Linked DNA regions of Tribolium castaneum. The protein of the gene in region 1 interacts with the protein of each later gene in a pairwise test. Links are inferred from orthologs where the notes say so. Each region holds a gene or a part of one and is shown in the gene's direction. Other genes may lie near its edges. The genes, in order: Moe and conu.

What was found.
Region 2: the proteins of Moe (region 1) and conu interact in binary tests that used the Drosophila melanogaster proteins (3 or more experiments, as listed by UniProt). The link is inferred for Tribolium castaneum from reciprocal best matches to the Drosophila melanogaster genes Moe and conu.

The regions. Positions count from the first base shown.
Region 1 is NC_087397.1:5,675,546-5,691,853, reverse strand, and holds Moe (moesin/ezrin/radixin homolog 1), read left to right. Parts: upstream 1-5,726; 5' UTR 5,727-5,788; coding exon 5,789-5,851; intron 5,852-5,905; coding exon 5,906-6,085; intron 6,086-7,986; coding exon 7,987-8,261; intron 8,262-8,830; coding exon 8,831-9,902; intron 9,903-9,949; coding exon 9,950-10,114; 3' UTR 10,115-10,988; downstream 10,989-16,308. Other genes in the region: zinc finger protein 358, read right to left, coding at 1-59, 285-789, 846-1,013; Dop1R2 (dopamine receptor 2), read right to left, coding at 12,254-12,337, 15,434-15,518. UniProt on the Drosophila melanogaster protein: Involved in connections of major cytoskeletal structures to the plasma membrane. Together with wgn, involved in control of axon targeting of R8 and R2-R5 photoreceptors, independent of egr.
Region 2 is NC_087403.1:3,525,689-3,541,859, reverse strand, and holds conu (rho GTPase-activating protein conundrum), read left to right. Parts: upstream 1-5,202; 5' UTR 5,203-5,472; intron 5,473-5,478; exon of another isoform or gene 5,479-7,250; 5' UTR 7,251-7,300; coding exon 7,301-7,391; intron 7,392-7,443; coding exon 7,444-7,685; intron 7,686-7,734; coding exon 7,735-7,850; intron 7,851-7,898; coding exon 7,899-8,443; intron 8,444-8,491; coding exon 8,492-8,836; intron 8,837-8,880; coding exon 8,881-9,082; intron 9,083-9,131; coding exon 9,132-9,348; coding exon of another isoform or gene 9,349-9,400; intron 9,401-9,539; coding exon 9,540-9,632; 3' UTR 9,633-9,761; downstream 9,762-16,171. Other genes in the region: larp (la-related protein 1), read left to right, coding at 1-69, 119-267, 1,195-1,346, 1,399-1,430; Rlip (ralA-binding protein 1), read left to right, coding at 3,203-3,290, 3,342-3,471, 3,517-3,725, 3,778-4,039, 4,086-4,263, 4,311-5,024; centromere-associated protein E, read left to right, coding at 11,921-12,018, 12,065-12,163, 12,525-12,748, 12,797-12,984, 13,292-13,981, 14,025-14,225, 14,271-14,399, 14,452-14,767 and 4 more. UniProt on the Drosophila melanogaster protein: GTPase-activating protein (GAP) for Rho1; functions with the ERM protein Moe to regulate Rho1 and control proliferation in the developing epithelium. Recruited by Moe to the cell cortex where it negatively regulates Rho1 activity.

The DNA.
Region 1 (16,308 bases):
AGTCAGCTTGCCCTCCGTGGGGATAATTTTCATCTGCAGCTGGCCAGACACGTCAAAACCTGGAACGATACATTTGAATTGAAAATATCGTTATAGTTATAGTTCCGCTTTTTTGAATAGTTTGCCGTAATTAAGAAAATAAAAAAAGTGTCGAATCAATAAAAATCGATCCAATATGATAGATTTTGGTGTGATCTTTACGATGAAATGAGACGTTTTCTCCAAGTTCTTTTAGTTTCCCCCAATGTGGGAAACTCCACCACAGGCTATCGTTGAATACTGACCCGGCTGGGTGGCAAGAGTGGCCTTGACCGCGTCTGCGATCGCGTCGTAGCTCGTGTCTTCCATTTCTTGGCTTGCTTCATCCACAAAAATGACTCCGTCGCCTTCATTGTCTTCAACATCCATGACTTCCCTTTTGAGGGATTTCAGGGTGCAGGCGTCTTTATTCACGACGTCGGCGTCCGCCGGTAAAGTGATACTTTCGGGATCGTCTTCAGGTTCGGGGTCTGGTTGTATGTAGGCGACTTGGGTGACCCCGACCAAGTCTTCTTCAGTGCTGGGTTCCTTAACTTCATCCTCTTGTTTCTCTTGCGATTCTTCAACTGCCGCTTCGCTCTCCCCTGATACGTTCAGGTCAGCATCGCCAATCTTAGCCTGGAGACTCTTCAAATGCTGCCTCAGTTTCATGTCTGAGTTTTCGCATTTTTTCCGAAAGTTGTACGATTTTTCCAGTTGGAATTTGCACGGGTGACAGATCTTGTTCGGTAGGCCATCGCCTTCGAAAACCTGCAGATTTTGTCAAGTGTAACGAGTAGATAACTACAGTTTTTCGATTTTCTTACCTCGAGGGCGACACAAGCCATGATCCGCAGGGTCAAAGGGATGGCTTCGTCGCTGTTGAAAATCGGCACCAATTCGTCCTCTTTTGCCATACATAATCGACATAATTCGTTTAGATCCAAGATCACGTCTTGAGCTTCTCCGGATTTCTTCCGACTGTAGGTTTTCATTTTGTTGGTAAATTATGATAAATCAGTTATCTACTTCGCGTATTGCTAGAGACGCTCACTACTTTATCTGTATTTCCAAGATGGCGGAAATAGAACAAGACTGAAATGACGTGCGCTGACAGCGGGATCGATTTTGCGCGCGCAGTTTTCATCATTACCGATACTTTTTTCACTCACAAATGAAGACAAAGCATTTTTTTCCAGTTAAAAAATAAATCTCTTGATCCCAGCTCGTAAAGTGTTGCGTTCCTCGCAAACACTTTACATTTTAAACTTTACATTTTTATCCCAAACCAGGTCAGGTGGGGTCAGTGGACGAACATTTCATAAAATCGATAAAGACAAGCTTAAAGCTGTCGTTATGCAACGAGCGTATGCGAGGAGCATTTTACGTTGCTATGAGAAGCGCGTTTTGACATAGTAAAAACACGTTGCTACCGGAAACGTATTTTAAAATAGTGTCTATAATCTAGGATTTGCAGACTTTTTCCAGAAAATTTAATTCTTTACAACTTTATTTCTTACACTTTTTTTGTATCTTCAACCGTATGGGCAGCGTTCACAAAAATATTACGTGGAAAGCAAATTGATAATTCTAAGCTTGTAGAGACTTATTATCTGTTTCAGAACTATAAAAACGCCAACGTAGATTTTTTAATATACAATTTTTTTCATGTTTCTTGTGAAAATTTTAATCGTTAGTTTTCTTATTTTGTTAAGCCCAACATTTCGACATTCTTTCCAAGTAATTTGTAATTGGTTGAATTAAATTGATTTAGGACGATTTGGTGCCAAGGCGGTATAATGCTCAAAGTGCCCCTATTTTTACTCTATCGTACTATTATTTTGAGTTCAAAAAATTCTGCGATTTTGTATCTCGTTTCGTCTCCTGACTTATAGTTCTCCGTAGGATGCCAAGTGTTTTGGCTATTTTTCTAGAACAGGATGGGATTCGGAATAAAGGAATAAAAACCACAACTGCATTAAACACTGGATTTTATTGCTATAAAATAAAAATTAAAAAAAAAATGATAAAGTGCCCTCTGTTGGGGGTGGTTCCGTCTAACGCCGATTGGTCGTAGTTGGCTTTGGGGTAGAACCCTTGGTTTTGTGGTCGTTTGGTAGATGGCAGTATATCGCGCATTTTTGGTCCTCTGGTGGCAAAGTCGGAACTAAACGATACACAATTTGCTGATTCTTGACAATTTATTTTCCGATAAGTTGTCGTGTCGTGTGTGGAAGGGTGTGTGCCCAGAAAAACCCCGCGTGTGCTACTTAATGTGGTGGCTACAAGAGTGTTAATCTTCAAAAGATATATTTCTTAGTGAGTATCTCCCCCTTTCCAGCAAGTGTCACGTTTACAAAGACGCTTCAACAGCACAGTTATTACAAACACAAGTACCGGTACTGCCTGTTCAAAGGCTGACCTGTGCTTGGTTCGGAGGCGATTTCCCCTTTGGGAGTCGTCCTCGTGGCTGGAATCGCGAAAATGGTCTAAATCGAGCTGATAATTTAATTAGGCCGTATGTTGAGTCAGGTGGCGTACCACTCGAGCGTGTAAATGGTCAACAGTTGCAAGGAAAATGGTGCTGTGTGAACTGCACTTGGGAAAAAATGACACCTAATTGACCAATCGGGTGCGCTCACGGCCGACTGTTTAATGCGATTTTCGAGCCCTATTTACACGAGGTTCATTTTTGTTGCAGGTTTTTTGGTTCGAGACAAGACTGCCAACATGCCGAAATCGGTAAGTAGAAGAGGTAATTCCGTGTTGACGCACCGCACTGTGAAAACACCTGTTGATTGGGTGTATGGTGGTGAAAGTTGCATTTCACTGTCAATAACTTTTAAATAAAATGTCGGGTAATTTGGAAAATTAGTGCCTCTAATGACTCATTATGGACATTTTACAATGGCATCGTTTAAAAGGAATTACATTGCACCATTGGTGGTTAAGTTTCAATGGGCTATTGAATTTTTTTTTGGCTTTAGGGTCGCATAAAAATTATGGTTTTATATCATTTTAACCGCTACAATAGTCTAGCGCCATTTTGCTCATTTCTGTGTACTTTGACTTTGCTCCAACTAAATATTTCCTATTATCACATACCTTGATAAGTTACGGTTGAATTAAGGCGAAATCGTAAAAGGAACAATGAGTACTATTTATCTAAGCTATTTCCCATTATCTTGATTTATTTCTATTTCAAACGAATCCATAAATTTTGTAGTTAAATAAAAAAAGTGTACCGACTGGAAACAATGAAATATTTCACTGGTATTGTCCTGCCTAGCAATTAGTGTTTTTCTGATAATCTGTATCACATTTTTACTGTTTTACATGCTAATTCAATTAGTCAAGTTTTGAAGCAAGAAATGGGACATTAAATTGACTGTAAAGTAGGCTTTAACGTCAAATTTGACTTTTCAAAACGTCACAAGTTTAAATTAAGGTTATTATCTAAAGGCCGTTTTACGTGAAATGAACCTACGGTCACATTTTTTTTTATTCGTGCGATACTATTATCAAAGAGCTATTAAATTTTTTGGTTAATTTTTGACGAAATTCTGCGAAACTTCCTATTTCAGATCAGTAGCATTTTGCAACAGCACATTTGAATTTTTTGGGGTGAAATAAAGCACAAATTGAGAGTTGTATAAGAAAAGAATTCTATGTTAATAAATTTTGAGCTAAGAAAACCTACCAGAAACTGTCAATTTGTACACCATTTCACCCCAAAAAATGCAAATGTGTCCCATTTTCGATTTAATTCGGAAAAATTGCTTTTTTTTTATAAATGCAGCAGTGCATATTAAAATGAGTAACGTCTTAAAATATCACCTTATCAATGACTGTATTTACCAACAATTCCCAAAAACTTACTCATCGTAGTAGGCAGAGCCAAACAAATGAAATGTCCACAGTCTACTTGACTTATTCTAATTCAAGGGCATCGAGATGTGGGCTGGCCTATTTAATTAGGAATACCATTTTTTGTTTTGTTTTTATTGTTATTTCATAATCGCCTTGTCTGTTACTCTTGTAGGAAACGTCAGTTTCGTAATTTTCACATGAAAAACAATAATTCACACACCAATTGTTCAAAAGACAGTCATTTGTTCCGACCTCGTCATCTTCGCCACTCACCTAAGAAAGTTTTAATTTTGTAACGACCGACGATTAAAATTTTAAGTCTCACTTAATTCAATAAAAATAAGCTATTAATTGCTCTAGATGTCATCGAGATCAGATTATTTTGATTAATTATTTGCACTCTACTTTCCCCGAAGTGACAAATAACCAAATCGAGTTGTATTGTTTACAGAGTTCTTAAGACTTAAAATAAAAATGATGGTATAACAGGTGCTGTGGAGCAGATGCCCCCCTATGTAGCTTTGCTCATGCCCACAGTTGATTCATGAATCCGAATACTACTATTGGTGCTTTCATTCAATCGACGGTTTGTCTTATTCCCTAGACCTCAACGGTCTCGGCTGTGTGTTCAAGTAATTCTACCGGTTTCAGTGTGGAGTTTACCCCACCGGAACCAAGTCCATCGCTGTGAATATTTAGTGTTTAGATTTTTGGTTTAGTGGACTGTTTTTAAGTTTCGTTCAAAATGGTGTCCAGCAAATTGGTAATACAATTATTTTTAATAACTTGTAATAAATTTATTCAAAGACTTGTGGAGTCACGGTTAAAATAAACGGTTACGAACTTATGCAACGTTTAATTATATTTTTTTGTTATTGAATGACTCACACTATAAACAAGATAACAAGAAATTAAATTATTAATTAACTAATCTTCCCATTTTTAACTCGTGATTCAATTTGAATAATTTTTCGATTTGGTGCCACTGTAATTGTCAAAGTGAAACTTGGGTGCAAAATATAGGTACCCGTCATACATAATTAACTAAAATGTAAATTCTGCTCTTGTTTCGCTGAATTTTCATACAAGGCTAGGTTTTATCTGCCTCATCTGTAAAACTGCCGTGACGATTGAACACCCTGTCTATCGTCATAAAATGTGTGACTTCTATAGTGATTTGGTAGTTTTTCGAGCCTGGAACTTTAATCGTAATTTTAATTAGAAACGATTGCTCACGTTTAATTTAGCCTTGATGATAACTGTCATAGTTACAGAGTGATACATGCAGTAGCATGTTTTTTTGACCAAATTGTGTTAATGATTTATAAATATTTACAAATTTATTGGCATTAAAATCCAAGTAAATATGATTTGGCCGGTTTAAATTCAGACATACGACCAAATGAATGTGAAAATTTGTATATTTTAGCAATTAAACGTTGATAACGCATTATCGAAATTATTTAAACGTTGACGAACGTGTGCGAAAATAACCGTCATGTCGTAATGGGATTTTATGTTACGATGATGTTTGTAATAGTTACAAATTGGAATAAAAAATTTGTGTTACCTTGTCATTATTTGCATATCGATTTGAAGGTTGAACCTTATTATTTTTTCAAACAATTGAGGAATAATATTGTTTCGTTACTTACGTCTTGATGGAAGATGCGTCTGAACTTGACTGATATTTTATGAAACGATACACAATAAATATTTTGTCACGTGATTTATTGCCAAATTATGTAACTAATGTGTAGCTAAACCTCTTATCTCGCCGTTTATATTTTTAATAACCCTTGTTTATTTTTAATCTAATTACAATATTTTTATTAAGCAAACTTGATAACTTTCCAAGACGATACAACAGTGCTTTTGTTAGGCTGGCGTTGTGAGTGCGATGAAATTTTTTAACACGGACAAAATGTACATTTTAAAGCGGCGTTATTGTCCTGATACTAAAGTACTAAATTAATTGGGGGTGTGTACAGGGTGTATAGTTAAATTTTGGTTTCAGATGAATGTCAGGGTGACCACTATGGATGCGGAACTCGAGTTCGCAATCCAGCAAACAACATCCGGAAAACAACTCTTCGATCAAGTAGTTAAAACAATCGGATTGAGAGAAGTTTGGTTTTTCGGACTACAGTACACCGATTCTAAGGGTGATCTAACATGGATCAAGCTGTACAAAAAGGTAAAAACTAGGTAGATCATCCAAATTGATTTTTTGTTTATTTACGAGTATTATTACGTAAGTTTAGTAGAACATAAGTGTTATCTGTTTTGATAGTTCAGGTATGTCGATTGTAGATAATTTGATTGTATTTTTAAATACGACCCAAATAAAAAATTGATAAAGTTTTCCATGTCGAGGATGTGTGGAGCAGCCGCCATTTGGTTGCGGTCTCTTGCGTCATTGTTAGTTGAAGATGAGTGACTCACAACCGACCATATTAAAAATCAAGTGATAAATCCATTCGGCGAATCGAATTTTGCGTTTTTACGACTTTGAGAATGCATTAGTTATTTTTAAATTGATTATGTCAGAGGCGAAATTTGCCACCTGTTGTGGGCGGCAGCCCGGCCTTAAAGGTCACGAGTCGAGTTGCATTTATTTTTCAAATTTTTAAAAATATTTCGAAAACGACATCATCAACGTGAATCATTAATTCAATAGTGGGTAAGCGCTCAGTAATTTGTTTGTTTTTTAGCGCCATTAAGTGGTAATTGTTATAATCGTTTCAAATCCCGTGGCAAAAACAAATTAAAAATTTAATAAAATCGTTTTTTGACCGCTTTTTCGTGTCAATGTCGGCAATATCATCATTCTTATAGAACAGGTATAGGTCATGGCGAGTTAAATAATGCACCACTTGTCTTCGCCATAATAGATGAAGGACGCTTGATAACGCATAAATAAAATATTTTTCCAAGTAGTGCCCCCAACCTGCTTTGTTGGTATTTTTAGACCCTCTAGAAATAAATTGGGAAAATTGTTGTTTTTCACTTTTGTCTTATTTTAATGCAGCCGGAATCTGTCATACAAAGAAGTTTCAAATGCTTTAAACAAATAAAAAACTTTCAGCCGCGTCCTTTGCTTTTAAATATAGAAGACGAAGACGATAATGAATTGGTAAGTACGAAATTCGCCCCGAAATAATTTCGAGTACCGTCTAAATTTAGTTCCGGATGTTAAGACGAGTGCAAACATCAAAAAGATCTAAAATTAATTCGCAACTTTTATATAAAAAACAAGCCAGAATCGATTTTTGTTTTTTAATGGAACGCTACTATAGACAAAACTACAATCATTAATGACCGGATATGATGGGAAAAACGGAAATACAAAAGTCCTTGTCTGGCACCGTAGCGGAAAAGCACAGCACGATTCGTTCGGACAAAATTCGGCTTTTCGAGTTTCTATTTATGTGCTCATTTATCATCTCGCTTTCACGACGATTAGAAAAATGATTTTGCATAAAATCAGGCCGTTTAACACAGAAAGGTGCGACTTGGAATGTCAAGTGAATGCGAATAATTGTTGTAACACCGCTCGACTTGCATGCATATTTTCTTCTATCAAATTTATGAATGGGATAATTAAAACGAGTCTTTGTCTAAATATCGGAAATCGATTGAGCTCGGATTTTACTTTTACAAGGCCATTGAAAGTCATCTCGGCGTATAAGTACATTCACTGTAACAGAATTCTTGAGTAGGTCAATAGCTTCGGATGGTACTTTTCTACAAGGAATTCCCTACAGGTCGGGCTTCGAAGCCTGGATTTTAATTACGATAATTGGGTAATTAGGATTGGGTACATTAAATATGAAATTAATGTAGTGTCTAGCTTGTAATACGCCACGTGATTAAATACCGTACATTGCATAAGAAAATACTTCAAATTGGAATTATACATTGCTACGTTGGCAAATTTACAAGGTAATAGTCGGCAAGGTTAGCCGAGAAATAACGATGCACAACAAATTACAGTATCTTTATTCTTACGTAACGTCTATAAAATAACAGAAATTCTTTTTTCCTAAACGTGCAAACTGTTATTTCCTGTCATTAGCTCATTTGCATATTTTCCAGGTGATGAGCCAAGATGTGAAGAAAGAAAATCCACTTCAATTCAAGTTCCGTGCCAAATTTTATCCCGAAGATGTCGCCGAAGAATTAATTCAAGACATCACTTTGCGTTTATTTTATTTACAAGTTAAAAACTCTATCTTATCTGATGAGATTTATTGTCCTCCTGAAACGTCCGTCCTTTTAGCTTCCTATGCCGTTCAAGCGAGATACGGCGATTATTGTAAGGCCGTTCATACCTCCGGATTCCTTTCAAACGACAGACTTTTACCACAAAGGTGATTATTTTACAGACAGAGTTTATTTATTAGCGCAAACACAGTCAAGGAGCTTGTAAAACTTATCTACTTTACACACACTGATAAAATAATAACACAATTTAACAGGAATGTGGCCCAAACACTTTTCCTTTTGTCGTTGTAATAACGTACTTACTCATGTAGAATGTATTTTAAAATCACTCTTCTAATTAGGTGTACTTTTAAATTGACCTTTGAAAACAATTTTCCTTTACTCAAGAGCACACCCATATCTTATCTTTTAGCAAAATTGTTTTGTAAAAATAGACAAATAATAGAAAAAACAAAATAATTTTTTTGTTAACAGAATGGTTTCGGCGGGCCATAGTAGGTATGATTTGTGTGGAATTCTGACTTTATGATGATTTGTTTGTGTTTATCACAAATCTAACCTACTAAGCACCTCTTAGAACCGGGAAAAAATTGTAAATATTGCATGAATTCGTAATGGTGTGTTTAATTTAAGTTTATTTACCCGAGCTGTGTCTTAATCACGCTTAATATAGAGGAATATTTGTGGTAAAACGTTGAAAACCGATGATTTTCAGAGTCATGGACCAGCACAAGATGTCGAAAGAGGAGTGGGAGCAGAGCATTATGACCTGGTGGAAGGAGCATCGTGGTATGTTGCGCGAAGACACCATGATGGAATACCTGAAAATAGCCCAGGACTTGGAAATGTACGGTGTGAACTACTTTGAAATTCGCAACAAAAAAGGCACCGAACTGTATTTGGGCGTGGACGCCTTGGGTCTGAACATTTACGAAAAAGACGACCGACTAACGCCCAAAATCGGCTTTCCCTGGTCGGAAATCCGCAATATTTCGTTCAACGACCGCAAATTCATTATAAAGCCAATCGATAAGAAGGCCCCCGATTTCGTATTTTTCGCGCCTCGCGTTCGAATAAACAAACGAATTTTATCTCTATGCATGGGTAATCACGAGTTGTACATGCGACGTCGGAAGCCCGACACCATAGACGTGCAGCAGATGAAAGCCCAAGCTCGTGAAGAAAAACTAGCCAAACAACAACAAAGGGAAAAACTCCAATTGGAGATTGCGGCGAGAGAACGCGCCGAGAAGAAACAACAAGAGTATGAAGATAGGATTAAAGCAATGCAAGAGGAGATGGAGCGAAGCCAAGCCAATCTCCTCGAGGCACAAGAGATGATCCGGCGCCTGGAGGAGCAACTGAAGCAGTTGCAAGCGGCCAAGGAGGAGCTGGAGAAGAGGCAGAACGAGCTGCAGGCGATGATGGAGCGTTTGGAGGAAAGCAAGAACATGGAAGCTGCCGAACGCCAAAAGTTGGAGGAGGAGATTCAAGCCAAACAGTTGGAGGTGCAGAGGATCCAAGACGAGGTGACTGCGAAGGACAATGAAACTAAGCGTCTGCAAGAGGAGGTCGAGAACGCGCGTCGCAAGGAAGAGGAGCTGAAGGCCCAGCAAATGGCCAATGCGACCAAAGGCCACCTGGAGGAGAACAACCACGATGAGGACGATGAGATGGTCAATGGGGACGTGAGCAAGGATTTGACCACGGATGAGAACATTGTGGATCCTGTGGAAGACAGACGCACTCTTGCTGAGCGCAATGAGCGACTCCATGATCAACTTCTGGTGAGTTTTACGTAAAAAAATTCCAGTTATTTCAATGGCTCTTCCAGGCTTTGAAGAAAGACCTCGCCCAGTCGCGGGACGAGACGAAGGAAACCGCCATGGACAAGATCCATCGAGAGAACGTGCGCCAGGGCAGAGATAAATACAAAACTCTGCGTGAGATACGTAAAGGTAACACTAAGCGTCGCGTGGACCAATTCGAAAATATGTAAATCACAATCAAAATCAAAATTCCATATTCAAACTTTCAATGCTCAATACGAGATCATGTTAAATTTAAGTTTTGGTTTACTTACGTCTAAGTATGATTTTTTTCCAATGTAAGATAAAAAGTGCTCATTTAAGTGGCCTTAGACTTTCAAATCTTAGTTACACTATTTTCATTCTTGTTTTGTTGCAAATTATTTTGTTAGAATTGTGATATGATATGAGAGGAGAAAAAAACAGATCTGTTAATTCACTTTCTTTACATTTAAATCACTTAAACGCATTCCACGTAATGGTAGTTTTTCTTCTAATTTTAGTGCCATTTGGTTAACGGGCTACACAAAAATAATCTTTGTTTTTTGAAATTCGAATTGATTCTAAGATCAGCTAAATTTTGTACACTTTTATTGGCCTGGTGCTTCCTTATTGTGTAAATAAAAGTTATACAATTCGTTTTTTCTACTTACTGTATTTTTATCGTGGTTAAAAAGAAGGTTTTTACAATATTTTTTCTACAATACTTAATCTTTTACCTGTTACATATCGTAACAATAAAGTAATGTACATAACATTTATTTTTTAAAGACCATGATGCCTTCTAGATAGGTTTGGATGATATTTACACTGTAGTATGTCAGATGGGTGAGGAAAAACCGTTCTTCAAATGGTTTTTTAGGAAAGAAATTAACTAATCCTTATTTAAATAAACCGCAGATATCAAACGTCTGTTTTATTATACATTTATATAATATATATTTATCTTGCGATCACTTGTATATTGTACATCCTAAAACTACGTCGCTAGTTTTTAACATTTGTATTCTTCGTAGTTTATGAGTTATGTACTACTAGTATAATTAATAAATATTATTTGGAAAACATTTTTTATTTACCTTTTCCCTATTACCTTTCCTTAGGCGGCCCCGGTTTGAAATCAGACTCCAAATTTATCATCATATTTTAATAAAAACAAACAACATTTATAAAATTTAAATAACATCACTTATTACATCAACACAATAGAATCGGATACATTTTATTTTATGTGATTTTATAGTAGATTATACATCGTAATTGACTAGGACCATTTTAATTTTATTATTGTTATTAAAATTAAGTACAGTACAATAAAAATCTGAAACGTAACATCGGTAACAACAAAAATCAACAATAACGTAATACCGTATTGCTCAAACAATTTTTCTGTTTTCTCATTTTTTTGTCCATTTGAATTATACGGTGCTATCTATAATAAAATTATTAGATGATTGCATTTTATATTTTGTGATTATAAAAATACATAAGTCCTAAAATTAGGTAAATCTTTGCTTTTAGAAATACTGAGCTATGTTTCACTAATTACTAAATTAAAGTATATCACAGTTGAAGAAAACTAAGTTTAAAATTGTACACTTTTGTATGTCGGTAAAAGTACCGCATAAAGTTGCAATACTCTTCCGTTACAAGTTCGAAAAGATTGTTAGTCGCACATAAATGCAATTCTCAATGGACCTAAGTGCGCCTTTTTTATATTTACTGGAAATAAAAACTATCTAACAAATATACAAATTCTATGGGCCATCTAAGCTATCACGGCGTTTATCAACTAAATTTACATTATAAGCAAATGCAGGCAGTTTGCCCGTTTGTCCTTTTCATTAAAATTACAATTTTAAAATCAATTTAAGAAATAATTTATTGTCAGTTTATTAACGCAGTAAAACATGAATTTTGCTGGAATTTGTGTTCATTAAAAATAATTGATGAGTGTTTTGCCGCTATTTCCATTACGATTCTATTATTCCGCACCCCAACCGAAAAAAGCGGGTGCTTTGTGGGTAAAAACAGACATTTATTCCTAATTTTGTTATACAACTTTTTAAAAATATCTAAAAGCGCACATTTCCCCCTATCTTAACATTAAGTGTCTGAAGCAGTCAGATCCATCGAGATCAGCAACAGAATTCGAAAGAACGTCACACTTATACTGAAAATGACGAAACCACAGTGATTGTTTTCCTCCGATTTTATGCCATCCTTAAGGTGCTAGGGGAAGGTGAGCACGAATGGATCACTCTGTGTGTGGGCGATCCAGGACTTCCAGTCGATAAATTAGGTGTCGGATGTCTCGTCCGGACGTGGCGTCACAACGGGTAAAGTTCATGTTGGCCCACTGAAGAGTAAGTCACGCTATTTGGGGCGCTCTCGACCACATGGGAGTTAAAATACTGAAAGAATGCAGTCGAGTCAATGGACATTGGGAGAAATGGCCAAAGGGCCCCTGACACTTTTCTTGATGAATGGGTGTCAGCGACCCGCACATAAATAAAATATGGGTGTGCTGAATTGTAAGGAATAGATAGACACATAGTTGCAAGCCTAGTTGCTCGGATTGTTGACGGCGGGAGATAAAAGAAAATATATCGCAGACGCTAAAGCCCTATCGGATTACCGCATCATCCAGGGCCGTTTTAATACGGACGAAAATAGAACGGGGGATGGTTCGTAATTTATTTACTTATTTGCTGCTCGCTAAAAACAAAATTCGATATGATTCTACGGATTTTCATGACGCGACGAGTCTCTGAAGCAATTAAGGGTACGCTGCAAACTTCGGGATTTCACCGATAAACAACATCCCCTTGCTTTTTTACCCATGTACACCTATGGCGCCACCGAGCAATTAGGCTTACGTTGGACAAAAAATTTAAGCATCCAGAAAGACGGATATTTACAAAGTCATTCAAAAAATGAAACTTTTTAACTTATTTTTTGTTGGCGGCCATAATCCGACCTGTACTCTCGCCTGAAGACAATTTAAAAATTCGTAACTAGATAACTATCAGTGCTGCCTCACAACGGCTTGCCGGGAATTCCCCCGACAATGTTATCGGAGTTATCGATTTCACTGGCCATCCAACCCATTTGGATTTCACAGTGAGCGCTAAATTATGGAATAATTTTATTAAAAGTGAAAATATTTCACTAAAAGCTCAAAACCACGTCCTGACTGACTCACTGAAAAGCTTGAAATTTTCATACTAATTAATAATAATAATAATAATAATAATAATAATAATAATAATAATAATAATTATAATTATAATTATAATAATAATAATAATTATAATTATAATAATAATAATAATAATAATAATAATAATAATAATAATAATAATAATAATAATAATTTATTTTTATATCAGTGACATATGTGCATTAAAGTGTGATACAAGTCAAAGAGTATACAAATTTGAATTACAAAAATATATTGATACCAAAGTCGTTGAAACAATATAGTTCCGCATTGACTAATTTTTGGTTTAACTATTTTTTTTTGAAACAGTGTAAATTTAGTTGTTTAATATGACTGGGAATGCTGTTATAAAATTTCAAACATTAGTAAGTACAGCTTCGCTCCAAAAACACAGTTTTGTGATAGGGATAATTAAAAATCTTATATTGTATAGTATTGTATTATTTTGTCTAGTTTAGTTGTTTTGAGTCCATGATTGAATGTCTGTAAAATTGCTCTTCAGTAAAAATATCAGTAACATTAACTGTTTAAAGTAACTGTTTAATTCTTTGTCTTTTTATTTTTTTTTTCAAAAAATTGGTCAAAAGCCGGTTCCAAAGTTTTGAATGACTTCTCTGGATGCTTGGTGAAATATCGTGAAAGTAAACGTTGGTAGATTGCTAGATGTGTGTTATCTTCGAGTGTTCCTAACAGGCACATTTAATATATTCGGGTACTGCATGCGGACTAGATTCTTGTCAACACTATTCACATCAAACTACCAGAATGTAAACACACCATTAGCTCAATTTTACACAACAGAGAGACAGATTTGTGGGGTAATAATGTGGGTGACATCGAATAATAGACGTTTTATTACAATATTTTTCTTGATGGTGGCGCGAATAAATGTTGACTCGTTGGCCTAAGACAGTAAACAAAACCAGAAACCTGAACCGCATCTGGATTTCCAACTGCACGGGCTTTGGAACAAGATTATCCAACTCCGTTTTTCATTAAGGAGAAAATTGAATGAAATAATTTCAAGTTTTGTTAGTATCGAAATGCGTTATTAACTCCTCGATGGGAAGGAAACTTTCTAATTAAATCACACTTAAAACTTTACTCTGCTCCTTTTAATTGGTTGCAAAAAAACTCATTTCTTCGCAATCTAATTTGAATACAGTTTGCAAAAACAATGAACACAACGACGACGTGTAACGGCGACAATTTTGTGCAAGAAGCAGTGTTTGAGAAAATCTGAGAAAACACTTAGTGCGAGACGTTACACATAAGCTCGCAGCAGTGGTATTGGACTGGTCGGGAGAATCTCGCGAAGAATTCCTGTTTATTATTGATGGAGCATGCATGAAATTGCCGCTAAAGATCGATCCTTGCTTCAATGCGACCAGAAATGAGAAAGTGCTATCTGCACTTATCCAGCTGAAAAATTTATCGGACGAAATTGGAAATCTTGATGGAAATCCGGGAGCACCTTGCAGCTCCTGGTTAATTATAAGTGCATTGTTACGCTCCGCATCCGCCGTCGGAGTCTCTCCAAGCGAATAAAAATATTAGCGTTCCGAAAAAATAGCCAGTCCAATACTCCGCTCGAGTTGATTGAAAGTCCACATACCTTGAGCACACACGCCTGGAGGCCTAAGGAAAGAAGGAGAATTTGGATGGATGGTCAATGTTATCTCATTTAAAAATAGAAAAGTGACGTCGATCGGGCAAAGGGTAAGTTGGGGGCGATCTCCATGGAAGGCCGAGGCGGGGCTGTGTGCTAAATGTATGTCTGCTCGCAGGAGTTATGGCGGAGCGAGTACGAAGAGTAATAGCGCTGCGATGAGAACCTCTGCAACAATTACAGTCATCAATCAGCGGCTCGCAGCGTTAAATGATTTTTAAAATTTCCATTCGGTTGTGGTTTTCCGATCGATTTGTTCTACGGAAAGAGTCGAGCATGCACTTGAGTTGTTGCAGTTCGAAGGAAAACTATCGTCAAAATGCAAACAAGGTGCTAACTCTGTCTAGACCTTTACTTACGACGCACAAATCCGCCAATTTTTAAAAAATAACTAGATTCGATGCTCTAAATAGCTTACTCCTAAAAATAAAACGAGTTAAATCTGTTCTAAAACGGTTCTTGTAAACGGAAGCCTTAGCTGAAAAAAAAGAAACATAAAAAAACTAATTATATCATATCATGGAGGAGTGTTAGTTGTAAGTGGCTTACTGAAAGAACTTTTATATTTTTTGAGGTTTAAGTCCAGTGGGATTTTGGAGTCTCAAAAGTGTTTTTTACCTGACTTGGTTTGCTTCGGAAAGCTGGTTGATATCGGCGTCTTATTTGCCGAGGACAGCAAACACACAGAATCCTTAAAAAGGCTCTGAAAAAGAAAACACTATTAAGTGATTTTTGTTCGCCTAATCGGGGATAATTTCAAGGGATAAAAGTTTCACAACTATTTACGTGGTTTGTTAATTAAAAATTCAAGTTGCACGATTCAGAGATAGCCGCTATTTACTTTTTAAAATTAATTACGGCAAGTCTAGTCAATTAACCGACCAGACTTTGATTGATGGTGGCCAAAAACAGACAAAGCAACTTGAGCGCGTTAGGAATTTCCCGCAGAAAGGTCAGATAACAAACGTGGCCGAATCTTGTAATTGTTCCTTGAGAAACCCCCCGAATTTAATAAATTTATGTTAATATCCCGTATGATTTTTTGGTCGGAAAAATACCTGAAACGCTCGAACGCACATTTTCAATATTGAATTTCCAATAAAATCTTTCGAGAATTCCACATGTTGTAGACTCCAAGTTTTTTCGCGTAAAAATATCAAAAGCGAAAATTTATGTGACAAAAACTCGACATTCAAATAAGGGTGATTAAGTTAATTAAATGAAGTATAAGGCCGGGATTAGACGAATAAATTTTTCAAGCGAGATGCAGAAATTGTCCCGTTTATTTAATAGGGTCATAAAATTTGTTAGTAACGTCTAGAAGTGGCCTGGAATAAAATTCTTATCTCCAGTGCGATGTCTCCTCGAGTGATTTCCTAGGTTTTTTCTTTTAATTTTTCTCAAGACGTGCCGCGGAATTAAACCGAAATTATTACGGCTGGATTTGAAGGAAATTTATTACGGATCCGAAAAATGCGATGCAAATTCTGCCG
Region 2 (16,171 bases), on another chromosome or scaffold:
CAAGTGAATGCGGTACTAAAACAGTATTTATCGAAATTTAAGAGCATTGAGGACTTCAGAGTCGTTGAGGTAACTAGTCAAGGTGAGTAGAACGCGGTTTCATTGGTGGTTGTTTCAGCCGATCAACGATACTCAAAGCGGACGTCCTCAATATCGTCAGAAAAACCGAAATCGTAGTCTTTCCGAAACACATTCGGCTGAACCGGGAACATCACGTGATGACAGCACTATTGGGCGACGCTCCTCTGGAAGTAACGTCGCTCATAGGTAAGCTGATTTGGGTGTCGAGAGTCGGGCAGCCATGTTGTGTAATTTCGGCCAGATTAGATTGTTGCTTACTTACCTCACCAGTGATCTATGCAGGCTGAAATGGCGCCGGGATATCCTATATTATATGCTGATACATATTGTTAATAATAGGGAAAGGTTTTGCCAAGGATTTGCTTATAATAATATTGATAGAACGCTGCCAATAGAATGAATAGTGCAGCCTGAGTTAACATCGTTTGATTTTTTGAGGCAACGTTGTGCCAAAAATTGTTGTTTTTTAATCAGTCAAGTTCAGAACGACGCGATTCTGTTTAACTCGCCATTCAATGTATAGATTGTTTAGTCTGCGGTCCGTTACGAAGATTATAAGCCTTATTTATCCTCTTGTCTTATGAATAAATGCGCTGTTATTAATTTATTATTTAAGAAGAGCACCTCAGCCAAAGTTGATTGATTATAGGGGCTCTCCGGAAATGCATTTATTTTAGTTGAGTGATTTTTTAGTTTTTTGTTTGTTGTTAGGGGAACTAGGCTGTTAGTTTGGTGTTAGGTTTCATTGGTGCACTACTGTAACGAATCAAATGGGAGAATCGCCAAATGTGTGTACATTCTCAGTTTTCAGATCGTTTTAAAACTTAATTAATTTTTTAATTCATAGTTGTATGTAATATTGTATTGGAACATTGTTTTTTTTTTTCATTAAATTTTCTTAAACTTTATTCTTTTTTATTTACTAGTAACAAAGCGACACAGTAAAATAAAGTGATTTGAATCGGGAATTCTTGCTAAACCTTGAACTTTCCCTGTTATTTGACGTTTTATTTATATGAACTGTTGGGGTGCATGGAGTTATAAGAGTTCCAGGGGCAACAGTATTTGTTGCGGGCGCGCGTGGGGAGTGATATGATGTATATTTTATTCTAGGCTTGATTTTGCTCACGCTCAGCCTGGAACTAGTGCTCCAGCTGGCACAGGTTTTAGATACGCGGGACGGGCTCGTACTCAGTCTTTTGGATCTGGCCGTACCAAAAGTAACCGAAATACCGGTGAATCTTGGCGACAGAAAGAGCCAGATGGTAGGTTGGGTGGGTTTGAGTGACTTTTGGCCTGAATTGAACTTTGTTACAGGCAAATTTGAAAATTCCACAAACGCTGCTTAAGTTCCAACAAGTGTTCTAGTTAAGTGATCAAGGTAATTTTTCGTACGTTGCTCGGTCTTTTCTTTTGTAAATTTTAAGTGTAGGTTATAATGTTTTAAATTATAGTTATAATTATTATAAAACTATCAAGCACTGATGTTTGTATAAAAATGAATAACTGATGTATAAAAGTGTAAGTAGATTTGCGCAAGTGCCATTGCCTTAAAATAACTGACAGTTTCATATTTTTCTAGTAATTACAAGATGAAGCTATGCAACGCAATATTTTTTAAATGTCAGTGGAGACCGTATCGGTTCTATTATTATATAACGTGAATGATTTAGTCATAAAGTTTTGTGTGAGTTTGATGGTTACATTAATCAGTTGTATTGTAATGACTGCGCTATACTTTGTACATACATATGGGCTCACTCCACAATACTTTCATATATAAAATCTAAAAAATAGGCTGTTTCGTTTTCGCTTTAGTGTGTACCAATATATTAAGCATTATGTAGCTGGGCTACACGTATAACTGCTTAGCTGAGATTTCTTAAGGTTGGTTCATTAGAAAACAATACAATCAATGTACGTTTAGTTGAGCTAAGAATGTTTGCACTTTTCATTGAAAATGGCAATCATACGATGGTAAATTTTACTTATTTACTTAAGGTATGCATTTCCCCAAAAAAATTTAGTTGTAATGTTGTTTCAAGACTATAGATAAACGCCACTCGCCAACTCGTTGTTCTAATACCATTTAATGACACAACCACCGTTTCTTTTGTTATTATATTATTGTTTTTTTTTTGCGCGTAGCCTCGATCTAAAGTAGGGACTACTCTTTACGTTGTTACATTGCCGGATTTTCTTTCACTCCTCCCGTAGTAGGGACTACTTTTTACTTTGTTACGTTGCCGGATTTTCTTTCACTCCGCCCGTAGTAGGGACTACTTTTTACTTTGTTACGTTGCCGGATTTTCATTCACTTCTCCCGTAGTAGGGACTACTTTTTACTTTGTTACGTTGCCGGATTTTCTTTCACTCCTCTCGTTTGATCTAGCTTGAGGATATTTATAAGTTGTGTTAGGACCCCTTGACAACTGGTTTAGGGGCAAGACTAGACAAAGGTGTTGTTACTTGAAACTCTGTTTTTATTAATACGACTAAATCCCATTTGTTTTATATTGTTAACAGTTTTAGGTGTCAACTACTCTTGATATATTTTTATAATGACCTTCCCTTTGGTATGTTTATGAAAATGTAAATCATAGGACAGGCAAGGAGTTCTTTTGTATGTGTTTTCGTAATATTGTATTTAGAGTACTAATTCATCATTTTAAGATAGTTGAAAATCTGCTTTTCCGTCTCGCCTGCAACCAACCACGTGCAATCGACAATTGATTGCAGGCGAGACGAAAAAACACATAAATCTTGTGATAATTAAACGTTTTTTTTGCTCAACTCCTTGCAATTTATTACATAGTTAAGTTAGTTTGTAAAGTGTGTTGTGGAAGTGTGGTCAAAGATTTGTCTTCCTGTAACACGTAAAAAAAATTAAAAAAAATTACAAAACTAGCTCGTCTTTTATTTCGAATCTCCCGGTTAAGGCGGCCCTCAACACCAGTTCCTTCAAGAGATGGCAGGGCAAGCACCTGTCATATTACACCACTCAGATGACTTGATTTGTGTTGTTTCTGTTTTATCCCAGCTTAACATGCTTAGCAACAAATTCCCTTGGGAAAATAGTGTCATAATTATTTATTAAAAGTTCAAACCCAACCGTGTCAATATGGATTTTGATAGCCCCGACGTAATGAAGGATTTCCCAGGCTTGTACGCATCCGAATTAAATAAGCAGTGCAATAACGACAGCGACTGTAATAATAAATTAAGTGAACCACTAATTCCCGATTAAAACTCGTTTCTAGATAGTGACGAAAATGAGAAAGTCTTGAAAAAGGACATTCTCATCGGAAAACGCAAAGAGAAGAAGGATAAAGACAAAGGTTATGCCGCTTTAGAAGGCGAAAGTTCAGCTGATGAAAATTTCAAGTCGAGGTAATCACACCTGCAATCACTCAAACCCTCACTGGGATGTTTCAGAAGCCCGTCGAAAACAAAAAAAGCCAAACCGTTCAAATTCTCCACCAAAGCCAAAGAAAAACGGGACAAATCCCGCGAAAAAGAGAAAGATCTCGACAAGAAGAAAGACCGGGATAAGAAGAATGACAAGAAGCAGGACAAGGAGAAAGTCAAGAGTGAGAAAACGAAGAAACTCAAACAGTCAATTGACGAGACCGCTGACATCGGCGGTGAGAACTCTTACATAATGACAATAAAATTGGAATGAATTGTTCGTTCCAGATATTTTACCGATTTTCGGGGCTAGTTTAGACGTGGCTGTTGAGAGGAGCCGGTGCCATGACGGTGTAGACATTCCTTTACCCATTCGGGAATGTATAGACTATGTAGAAACCGTAGGTATGTCGTTCGAAGGCATATACAAAATCAGCGGAACAAAATCAAAAGTTCTCCAAATACGTAAAATGTACAATCAGAGGGGCAATATCAATTTAAATGACTACGACCCTCCAACCGTCACAAGTTTAGTAAAAACCTATTTAAGGTAACCTTTTCTTAGGTGTAACATGATGGGCAAAAACTCTTTGCAGAGATTTACCAGAACCACTTTTTACAAACGACCTTTTAATACGTTTCGAGGAAGCCGGAGCCATCCTTAATCTCAACACTCGCGAAAAACACTTAAAAATTTTAGTGGACCTTTTACCTCCCCACAACAAAACGCTCCTCGGCTGGCTCATCACCCATTTACACAACGTTTCTCTGAATGTGAGTGCCTTAACACCCCAGCCCCCATAGTATAGCGCGTTTCGCAGGAAAAATGCAACAAAATGAACAAACAAGCCATTTCCACAGCCCTCAACCACACCTTCCACTGCTCCTCGCGCCTCCTCCACGCCCTGCTCCACCACTGCCTCGCGCTCTTCCCCACAATCACAATCGCGCGCTACGTGCCCCCTCTCGAGTCCGGGGCCAAGCTCCCCGAGGAGCCCCCCGAGATCGAGACGGAGCTCAAGAAGCAGGAGTCGCTCCTCACCCAGATCCACAAGGAGATGAACGTCTGCTGCATCTCGAAGCAGCGCGAGGAGCTCCTCTGGGAGGTGCAGAGGATCATCACGCAGCTGAAGCGCAAGCTGAAAACGGCGAACCGCGACAAGGAAGCGGTCGAGAAGGTGGAAGCCCCCGAGCCCGAGGCGCAGCCCGAGGAGGCGGCCAGCGAGGAGGAGTCGGAGCTGGACGGCAGCGTCGCGCTGCTGAAGTTCAAGAACGAGGGGCTGCTGCTGCTCAGAGACTCGCTCCTGAAGGACATCCAGGCGGAGCGCGGCCAGATCGCCGTGCTGCGCTCGCAGATCACGGGGGAGGTGCCGCCCGTGGCGATGGTGCCCAACGAGGACCTGGACGAAGTCATGGACCTGTTCCTCAAGGAGAACCAAATTTTGCAAATCAAGAAGATCAACTTGGTCCGCCAGATCATCGAGGAGCAGGAGATGTGCATCGAGCTGAGAGCGCAGATTTTAGCCAAGTCGTAATGTGTCCAGTATTATTGTAACTGTATATAATAAATGTTCAAATTGACGCTGGGTTTAAATTTAGGTAGACTTGACATTGGAGTGGGCCTAAGGTTACGGTATGCAACTAGCAATGCGCCTGAACTAAGCCAACAGGCGGCGCTAGCACTACTTAAGTCGAGTATTTTTACATGTTTTTGTGCGTGTTGTTTTTATTTTTAGTGGGGAGTGAGTTCGTACTGTTTCATGTCCGATATTATTTTAGAATAGGAAGTGGTTGAAGGTGTTTAATTTTTTAATTGTTATTTGTTGGATTTTTACGACCGTCCCTTGTGATGTTTGCTGGCGTTTGGCAAAGTCAATAAATAAGATAAGGAGTTTCGTTAGTGTTTAGTGTGTATACATTGCTCATTTTATTATATTGTTATAAGTCACATTTTGAATCGAAGCCTCAAGGGACCATCTCGTGGTAAGTCTTCTGTGACCCAAAACCCCATTTATGACTCCCACGTCAATAACAATCATAATCAAGTTTGCTCAACTTTTGATTAAATTGTCGACTTTGTTTACACAGATGATTCCGTTTAACCCAGAAACTTCACCAACCCGGAATTTTAGCCCATTCGTCTTCGGCACCCTTTCTTTATCTTATTTATTGTACGAAATGTTTTTAAAAAGATTAGATTATAATAGTATGTAGGTAGTTTACTTTGTTCAGGTCTTCAAGGTTATAATAAGCAACCACGAAAACATTCTTGATTTGTTTAATTTTCGGATTTGAAGCCGTTCCAGTAGCCGAAGACGTCTGTAATTATTACAGTTTTATTTACAAACTAAAAACACCGACTTGGGCATCCAAGCATGAAATTGATACGATAATCCAGATTGAATCTTTTTCCAAAAGTGGAACAAGAGATTATGTCAGATATCGTACATTTAATTCGAATTGTTCTGCCTTAGGAGGCAAGAAAGTGAAAAAACGAGATTTTAAACTAATTAATGCATTTTCTAAATCACTTTCGTTTTATTGTGTTAATCTGCCCCTCATCCTTATCTAAGATTACGCACATGCACACTTATCAGTAATAATAATTCATTCCAAGCTCTTTAACGTGATTTATTTTATTATCTTTCTAATCTTTTCATCGCTTTCGAATCCGATTCTTTATCCTGATTCGCGCTCCAATGATTCTGGGTAATAAGATTTTTTGTCCTGCTGTGATTACATTTTTTGCTAATTATAGTCAAATCTGGAGAAATCGAAAATGGGGAGAATGTAAACATTTTTCCAGCGCACAATGCCTTTTTAACTGTAGCCGAAACAGTAACCAGTGAATGTAACGGTCAATGTTACACTTGCACTTTAATATTTATAAGTGTTACACAACTAGAAATCAAAAAATCAAGATCAGCTCTCAAGAATTCAGATAAACTGATTAGCGAGAAGTAATTTACGATTCGTTTTAAGTTGCAAAAATTTTCAAATTTGAGTAATGGCTTATGAATATTGATGCTAATCAGCGGTCGAAAACTGGTCCAATTAATGCACCGAAAGTAAAATGAGTTAAATGCCTTCCAAATAAGTACGGTGCGGTCGAGCCGCGGTCTATTTTCCAATTTCCGTTCGATTATTTGAGTCGAGACAAAGCAGCTTTCTAATTTTTTTCTCGATTTGATTGTCTATCAAGGCTGTTGAATTCGCAAGTTTGAGATGAATATGACGTCATCGGGTACAATAACACTGGTAGAGTCGTAGGATGGAAATTATAGTTTGTTGAAAAATACCAAAGAAACACTTCGTTCCAATTTACGGATCGGAGGAAATGTAGAAAGTAGCTAAGTAGTTCATTTATACGATTAGATAACTTCGGTGGCCTTCACCGTTCATAATTTTCACTGTTAATGTTTACAAATTGACCTAGCCACATAAATTTGAGCACAATGCGGGAAAAGCGAAACCGAACACACGAATGTTATCGTCGAGTGGATTTGTTTTGCAACTTGAATTGTTTTGTTTTTTCCTCAATCAAGCCATAGCGGGATGATTAGTCTTACTTACATATTTAGTCGCGCTTAGTCAATCTGCGATAGTTAATTAATTGCCTGATTACCTCCAGGTAGTGTCGTGTAAACAGACTATCCGCATTGTAATAGTAAGATTAGTATTGCTGATCACGATCCTGTAGAAACTCTGTTCGCATCAATTGTGTGGACATTCCTTTGTAGCCTTGTTAATTATGCTTCCAGATGTGTAAAGAAAGAATTGCAATCATGAAGAACATATAAGTGTCCTAGTTATGGAATCAGAAGAAGCGCTCAACTACTACATTAACGAAGTTAAAGACACTAACAATGAGATAGAAATCGAGGAAGAGCAAGTCCCCAATGGTGGAACCTCGGACCGTTTTGGCATTACACGTAATAATTTTCCGCGTTTTAGAAGCCGAACAAGCTGCTGACTTTCTGCAAAAGGTCGGTTTATCCGACTTGACGAAGTTGTACAACCAGGGAAAAGAAATAACAGAAAATGTAGTTAGCGATTCCGTCAGGCAGAAACATTTGACTGAGAGACAAGCCGAAACTGTTAGGTCTAGAATCCGGACTTTAAACAAAACACTGCACAGCAGACAGCCAAGGCGGAAACAACGGCAAGACATTCGAGACGTAGCGTGGAATGTTGAAGTAAAACCAACAGAGTAAACGAATTAGCGCTGATATTTCACCGTTTCAGACATCGAGTACCGGTACCAGGTCTAGAAGTGCTACACCAGATTCACTCGACTCGGTCGGAATCCTAAACGATGACCTAACTTCGGACGAAGACCAGCAGTCGTCTTTACCTCCTTTGTACCCAACCCACGATTTTTTTTCTAAGTGTAACTCGCTCCTTTCTAGCCCACTTGAATCTAGTCAACCAGTATTTAAAGCAAAAGTTAAATGGACGTCCAGTGAACCGCTCCAGAACAAAAAATTGAGCCGTGATAAGGGAGATGTGGCCCATCTTGGATCTGAAAACGTTATCTTGAAAGGTTACCAGCCGCTGAACGAGTACTCGACCCTCCCGCGACCCCAAAGAGAGCGGAGCGGGAGCGACCCCACAACAGAAGTGCACCTCCAGCCCCTCAAAAACCGGAACAGTTACGAATGCAAACCGCTCAACCTCCACAACGAATTCTCCCGCAGCCAGAACAACTGCAGCAAAGTGTACATAAACGGCGACGAGAACGAAATCCTGAGCTTCGAGGGGTTGATGAGGCAAAACAAAGTCAATCAACTGACGTCCGAAAGCTTCGGTTTGTGCGACCAAGGCATCGACATCGACGAATTCACCGACAGCGAATACCAGTACTTAAAGCCCCTACTTTACGTAGAGTTAGTCGCTATATTCGACCAATACAAGATAGTTTTTCTGAAACGGAAGGCCAGTACTAAGTACAAAGGCAATTTTCCAATTTGTTTTTTTCGTTTTGTTTGACTGTATTTTCCAGGTGGGAACGTCTTCGGCGTTAATTTGTCGACTCTGGTAATGCGCGACATGCAGCGACCGACTGATAACCTAATGGTGCCTAAGATATTCCAAAGCGTCGTCAACCAACTGAACACTCGCTGCGTGTGCGAGGACGGGATTTTGAGACTGGCCGGCCAGAAGCAGAAGCTCGAGTTTTTGTGCAACGAGATCGAGTCGAAATTTTTCACAAGCAGGCTGGAGGTGGAGACGCTCCTGGCGCAAGCAACGGTGCACGAACTGACCGGGGTTTTGAAAAAGCTCCTCCGGGACTTGCCCGACCCCGTGTTCACCATGGAGCTGTTCGATATGTTCTACAAAACGAGCAGTAAGTCGCGGTTTTGCGTTTCGTGCCCTAAGTCCCGGTTCCAGTGATTCCGAACAGCGAGGACAAGTTGAAAGCTTTAAACCTTCTCGTACTCCTCCTGCCGATCGAGCACCGCAACACCTACAAATTGCTTCTGCAATTTCTTTTGAACGTGGTCAAGCATGAAAAGCAGAACAGGATGAATTTACACAACGTCGCGATGATTACAGCCCCGTCGTTTTTTCCTGCAAGGCTGCTGCTTCCGAAGTGAGTCAAATTTGGCGTAATTGGACACCTGGCGAAACGCTTTTTTCAGAGATAATAACAGTAAACTGATTATGAAGCAACTGTCGCAGGAAGAGTTGGCCAAACATATAAACGGCGCTGCGGTTTGTTGCGTCATTATGGAGACCATGTTACGTGCAGGATTGAAATTGTGGCTAATTCCGAGCTACCTGGCTCGGCAAGCGAAGGAAGCACAAAAAAGAGCGCAAGACAAAAAGGACAATAGTAGAGATAGAGACAAAAGAATTGTATGTTGTATTATTGACATCATATTATGTGGGTTTGGTATGGGAAATAGAGGTGATGGTTTTTCATTAATGCCGTTTTCCCAAATAACTGTGTCTGTGTGCCTCTAACCCCCTGATACTGTCTCACCGGCCGCTTTTTTGCACTTTTCAGTGGCATTATTACGCTTGGTTTTCATTATTTCTGTTTTCAGCCGTGCGGTAAAACAAAGTTGGTCAGGAGCAGCACTCAGTACGAGCCTGGCCCTATCAACTCGCCGAGGATCAAAAAGGACTTGTTTATCTAGACCCAAGAATCGAATTGTATAACATATTCCTCAATAACGTACCTTATCAACCCCTTAATATCTAGTAATATATTTAATACTTGGTTTACAATTCTCTGTGCCAAAATAAATTTTAATTTTTAATTTTAACCAGTGTTTTATTATTATTACCCACACCCATAAAAAAGTAATATAACTTGAAAAAGACAACAGCGCATTTGCATTTTCTGGCCTGATAAATTTAAAGCAAGGGAAGAAAAATAATTATTAAAGATCCTCGGAAGTTATTTATGCATTTAGCTATCGCCAGTTATGTCACTTCACGTTTTTTCTGTAGAAGTGCACTCATTTCTTGAATTGAATTGAAATGGATTACAAATTGGTTTTTTGCGTTAAATAAAAATCCGGGTTATGTTTAACGGTTTTATCATTAATAGTAAAAGAACACCTAATGGAAAAAATAAATGTTCGGTAATGCAGGCAACCAAGAATACGGCAAAACAAACAAAGTCACAATTTTAAATAAATTACAACCGAAAATAACTTTGCACTCCGCTGGCAATGAATCTAGCTATCCAAAAAACTTATTCAATCCGTTATTCGTTCACGTTTTTTTGCGTCTTTGTTTTTTATTGCAATACCAATTTAGCCCCGATACTAGCCCACATCAATACGTTCCTGCCTTCGACGATTTACACAATTTCTATTTCAACACATCCGGAGAAAAAATACGCAGCGGGAGGTGTACTATACAGGCTGGCATAAAATCCAAGCCACAAACCATCAGAAATGCCTCAACTCTTTTTTCAAACCTCTAATACAATATATTTGAGTCAAAGATTTCAAATAAAAAGTACACCGCTTTTACAGTTAAACCACTCTAATCCGACCACGTGCCAGGTGGATGAATTAGCTTTGTCTCCGCACAGCGCAGCAAAAAAAACTATTATTATAATAATAACCAATCAACAACTTATTAATTAACTTATTTTGGTTATGAATGTTTTGCGAATCTCATAGTAAACGTGTCCAAAAGAATTGAATTTAATTATTGCAATTTATTGTAACGTGTTAGCAACTTCGATTTAAGTCCCTCATATTTTATGACTATGTAATGACTGGACGATTCCGACTAAAAATTTAGTTTTTTTGATAAAAGTGCAGTTGGAGACTTACTTATGTAACATAATATGTAAGCAAACAATCGAACAAACCAATAAATTACCTGTTGAATTAATTTGTGTGTTATTTTACCTTTTGTTGTTCCCTCCTGTTTTAATTATGAAAAAAGACATAAAATATTCGAAGTTCACGTAACTGGTCCAATAGTTGTGGGGGCGCATTAGGCCGGCCTGTATGTTGAATTTTTAGATAAAACTGCATCGGAGCCTGTTCGTCGTGAATTGGAGAGCGCTCGAGAAAAACGCTTGAAAAATTAGCTGTAGCCTGGCATGCTATTTTCGGTAGTCCAATTTAGTTCGGCTAATTCCAGTACAATTAGTAAAATATAGAACAAAACAAGACGACAAATTCCTAAATAAAGCAGTGTGCGAACCGGTTGCGATTTTCCGCAACAATTGTATGTGATAATTTCCTCAGGGCCACTCACCTTTCCGCCATGTGTTTTCCTGTTCAAATTTAGCATTTTTCCGAAAAATCAAGAAAAGTGTCGTGGTTGCCAAATTTTCAAACAACTTTCCTTCTAAAATTAAATACCCATATGGTGGGGTGTTTCAGCAAGGAGATGAAGAGAAAAATCTAAAGTGCGTAAAGAAAAAGTGATTGTTTTGAAAGCGACTGGCGTCAAACACTGGATCGCATACGCTTTCAGGAATGAGTGTTGCTTATAAGATTTATAAATTGTTTGGCGAACATCCCGAAATTAGGTGAGCACGGAATCTGGTTGCGACGCTGACCGTCTTCTCTCGCACAGCTTCAACGTGTGTATATGTTCATATGAAAGTGACCCCGTGCGAATTATCGCCAAATTGTCCGATTTTTTCGGTAATGTGGGAGTAGTGCCGTCGTGCGAACTTTCCAGTGAAGTGATTACGTAATTGATGCACGTTTTCTGGGCCCGATGGTCCAGCGCATCTCCATTTTCTCCTAATCCCAGTTTTTGAGTAACAAATACACAGTAAGTGCTGTTATTCCCCATTCGTGAATTTGGTAAATCGAGTCAGGGTCTTGCAGCAAATACAAATGTGCTGTAGCTATATATAGACGGAACTCACGACCTAAGATGTTGCAGTTGTAAATTGTGAAACCCTTTCACCAATTTTTGTCTCTAGCGCTGAATTCGCCCAATCATGCATCACATGTACCCCCTTGCCAAGGGAGACCCCTTGTGTCCCCTAGGGTTCCACCCCCAAGTCAGGTGGCCCACTAGGTGTAAACGGTGCTTCAGGTACATAATCTAGTTTCGTTTTCCGACACAAACACAATCATTTTAGAGACTATAAGGAACATGGGGGGAAGCGAAGGGACGAAGAACCGTCCCTCCGAAGAGACGACACCACGGCGTCGACACCTAGTCTGTCTTGGAGTTCAAGGTACAAGATTTGCTTTTTCACATCATTCACGTGCTTGGCATCCTTCAGCGGTGTCAATTTTGACAAAAGTCAAATTACTACACGGTGCCAAATTAATTCAAACTCAATTATCTTTTTTATACCCAACTGCACGAGCAGATTTCATGGCAGATCAACAATTCAATCAAAAAACAAAAGTGGGGGTTTTTCTATTTTTGAATTTATCGATTAAAAGGAGGTGTTTTTTTCACTTTTTGTGCAGCCTCTAGCCGAGCGTAACCTTAGCAATGGGTTACCTAGACAATATCTTCATCAGTTTAATAATTATCTCGGTCCGAGTTGATTCAGAGAGTAATTCAGTTGATTTTGTTATTCGATTTAGGGATGCAGATAGTGAGAGAAGACGTAGCTGGGTATCTAGCAGCAACTTAGCGTCTGACCGTGACAATAATTCTGTAAAAAGTGAAAGTAATTATAGCAATCCATCATCTTGGACGTCCACTCCAGATTTAGCAAAATTGGAAGACGATACTCAAGCTGTCACAACAGTTAGCATAAAATTACCAAAGAGAAAACAAAAACCGATCGATACGGGACAAAGAACTGGTAATTAATCCAACACGAGAAACCACCGATCAACAAACCATGTTACAGTTTCTGATAGTTTCTCCATTAAACCCGAAAAGTCAGTATTTAGTAAAAACGATAGTTTAGCAGCACGCGCTAGGAAATTACAGCAAATCAAGGAAGCAGCGGAGGAAAAACACAAACGAATCCAAATAAAAGAAGTCAAAACAATATCAGAGGAACCAACAAATCACGATGTACAATTTCTCATCCAAGTAATTAAATGTTGTGTTGTGTTAACCCTTGCACTCCTATTCAAGTAATTAGAGCTTTGTAGTATTTGGGGCTTGTTACACCCTTTATTTTAAATTTCATAGTTTTGGGGAACCGCACGAATAGGATTGGTAAGACGCATGCCAGCTCATCCATCAAGAAGCACCCAGGACTGGTCAAATCATCGTGTTTTTGTACCTTAACAATTATTTTACCCCGCACTCGCACCGCTTGATATTCATCTAACTAACCATATTAACAAAATTTACTTAAAACACAAGAGTCAATACTGAAGACAATTTACGTTAGGTGAAACGAAAACCTACTGTAGTGGAAGACCATCATTCAGAGCCCGAAGACGACGCTGTAAGTATAGCCGGAACCGAGACAACTGACACCACTTTGGTGGATGCGCACGATCACGAGTTAAGAGAACAGTTAGAGAGTTTAAAAAAAGAGCTAGAAACGACGAAAACAAAATGTGAAAGACTTGAACGCGAAAAGAGTGACATTCTCCTGCGAAGACTCGCAGCGATGGAAACAACAACCAGCAAGACCACTGCTTCGGAAGTCCTGAAACTCCAGCAAAAGTGTAACGAGTTGCAACAAACTCTCGAGGATTTCCGGGACGAGAAGAAGAGTCTAACTTTTAAGGTGAAGGAGCTGGAGGAGGAGTTGGAACAGAGACCTACGGCCCAAGCGGCGCAGAAAATCGCCGATGAGCTGCGTTCGAAGCTGCTCGCGGCTGAAACACTGTGCGAGGAGCTGATGGACGAGAACGAAGACATCAAGAAGGAGCTGAGGGACATGGAGGAGCAAATGGACGAAATGCAGGACAACTTCCGCGAAGACCAGGCCGTGGAATACACCTCACTCAAAAAAGAGTTGGATCAGACCACCAAAAACTGCAGGATTTTGTCGTTCAAGCTGCGAAAAGCCGAACGCAAAACTGAACAGTTGGAGCAGGAAAAGAACGAAGCGGAGCGGAAGTTGAAAGAGGTAGAACGGTTAACACTTGTGGCCCCTTCTCACTTTTTGTTAGATCTCAGGGGGACAGTCAACCTTGGCCAATTTGGAGAAAATGAAACAACTCGAACAGGATTTGAAGCTAGCTAACGAAGTCTCGATTCGGTTGCAAAAGGAGTTGGATGAGACGAATCAAAAGCTTCAAGAGGAGTCCAAGACGAGCAAAAAGAAAGCGCCGAAGTTGGGATCCATCGGCAAATTCCCATCTGCTGATGGAGTAAGTTAGTTGAAAGGTTTGGGCGTGTCTGATCCCTGTTTGTAGAAAGTTTCCCGCGAGTCTCTGACTCGGGGCGGTTCCCAAGACGATCCCGCTCAGTTGCTGAGAGACCTCCAAGATTCAATGGAACGCGAAGCTGACTTACGGGAACAACTGAAATTTGCTGAAGAAGAGGTAATCCCTCCACGTGCCTTGTTTTCTAATTCATTTTTTTTCATTGGTCCAGATTTGTAAAAAATCATGCGGACATTTCAAATCCCCCGAATTGCATATTTTTCAACGCAAATCCCCTTTAGTATTGTTTGAGTCTCAAAACGTGGAGACCAAACTTTTCACAGTATCGACCCAAACTTTGTTAAATCTTGACTCATCTGAAGCAGGAACACAAGCCGCATTTGATATCTGTGACGCCTCTAGTCAAACAATTGAATGGCGACCACAAAGTTTCATTTCTTCCATTCAATTCCATCATCTCACAATGTCCAAAATTTACCAACCAGCGAGACATTTCTCACCAATGGCCACTTTCCTGAACGCAATGGGTAATAATTTTTTCCTACTTGCAGGCTCAAAATTTACGCAAGAAAGTGTCACGGATAGAAGATGATAATGAATCTTTGGTTTTGCAGCTGAAGAAAATGGCTACTCGAGCCAGAAGTACGTCAAAAATGAGCTGTGTATTGCATGATCATTAACAATTATTGGTCCTCTCCCTACTAATCCTTCCCACCATTTTCTACAGTTGCAATTCTCACATTTCTTGCTTAAGTTTTTTGGCTTTGTAGTCGTTTAACCGAATTAATTAATACAATTGGTAGGTCGTAAACTAAGTCCCACCAATAATTCAAGATTGACCCCAGAACCACCTTCTGAGAAAGGTGACGTATCAGACGACGAAGACCCCGCAGAAATCAAATTACAGTTAGAGTTGAGCGAACAAGAAGCTTCTGTTCTTCGACGCAAAGTTGAAGATTTAGAAGCGGAAAACCATAGAATTAAAACCAAAAACAAGGAACTGCAAGACAAACTTACCGCGAAAACTACAACAAAACGCACGGCTGTTGGTGGAGAAAAGGGCACGACACTGCAAAATCAGAAGCTGAAAGTTCTAGAAGACGAGGCGAACGACCTTCGGAAAAAACTCATCGAGAAGGAAAGAGACTGTGAAAGACTACACGCGGAACTTAGTCTAAACCAAAAGAGAAGTAAAAGTGTTCAAAAAAGCAAGTACGTGTTTTTTGGGTGCTTTTACACCAAACTAATTGCGTAAACCCACAGGTCTTTGGATTTGGATCAGCAAACTTTGGACTTGAAACGTCAACTTCAAGTCATTGAACAAGAAGCGAGCATTTTACGAAATAAAATCCAATCGCTTGAGGCAGAGAACGAGAAGTTAATAAGCGAGAATAAAAAGCTTCAACTAGTCCGAGGAGCGAAAAACCTCAAATCTGCGGACAAAAACTTAGACAAATACATTGACCAAATAGCTTCGTTAGAAATTGAAATTTCCGAGAAAAACGACAAGATCAAAGCGCTGGAAGAAAAATTAGAAACGGCCCTTACGCAAGATTCATCAAGTCTTAAAGTAAGAATTGTGTTTTATTCTACCATAACTTCTAAAAAAATATTGACAGGGAGGAAATTACAAACGATTTGTAGAGAGAACACCTAAGAAGGTTTCACAGTTAACATCGAAGGATCAGTTGAAAACTATGGTGCATGATTTGGAGAATGAAATTGGTACCTACCTACAATCAGCAAAGCTGACACTGTTCAAAAATTCTATTTTAGGTGAGATGATTGTGGCAATAAAAACCAGCGAAAACGAGAAGATTAAACTAGAGGAAGAAATGAAGAAAATGCGACACCAGAACGAAGTCAATAAAGCGATGCAAGAACTCGAAGAAATGAACAAGAAATTTGAAGAGATGAAGACTGAATTATCG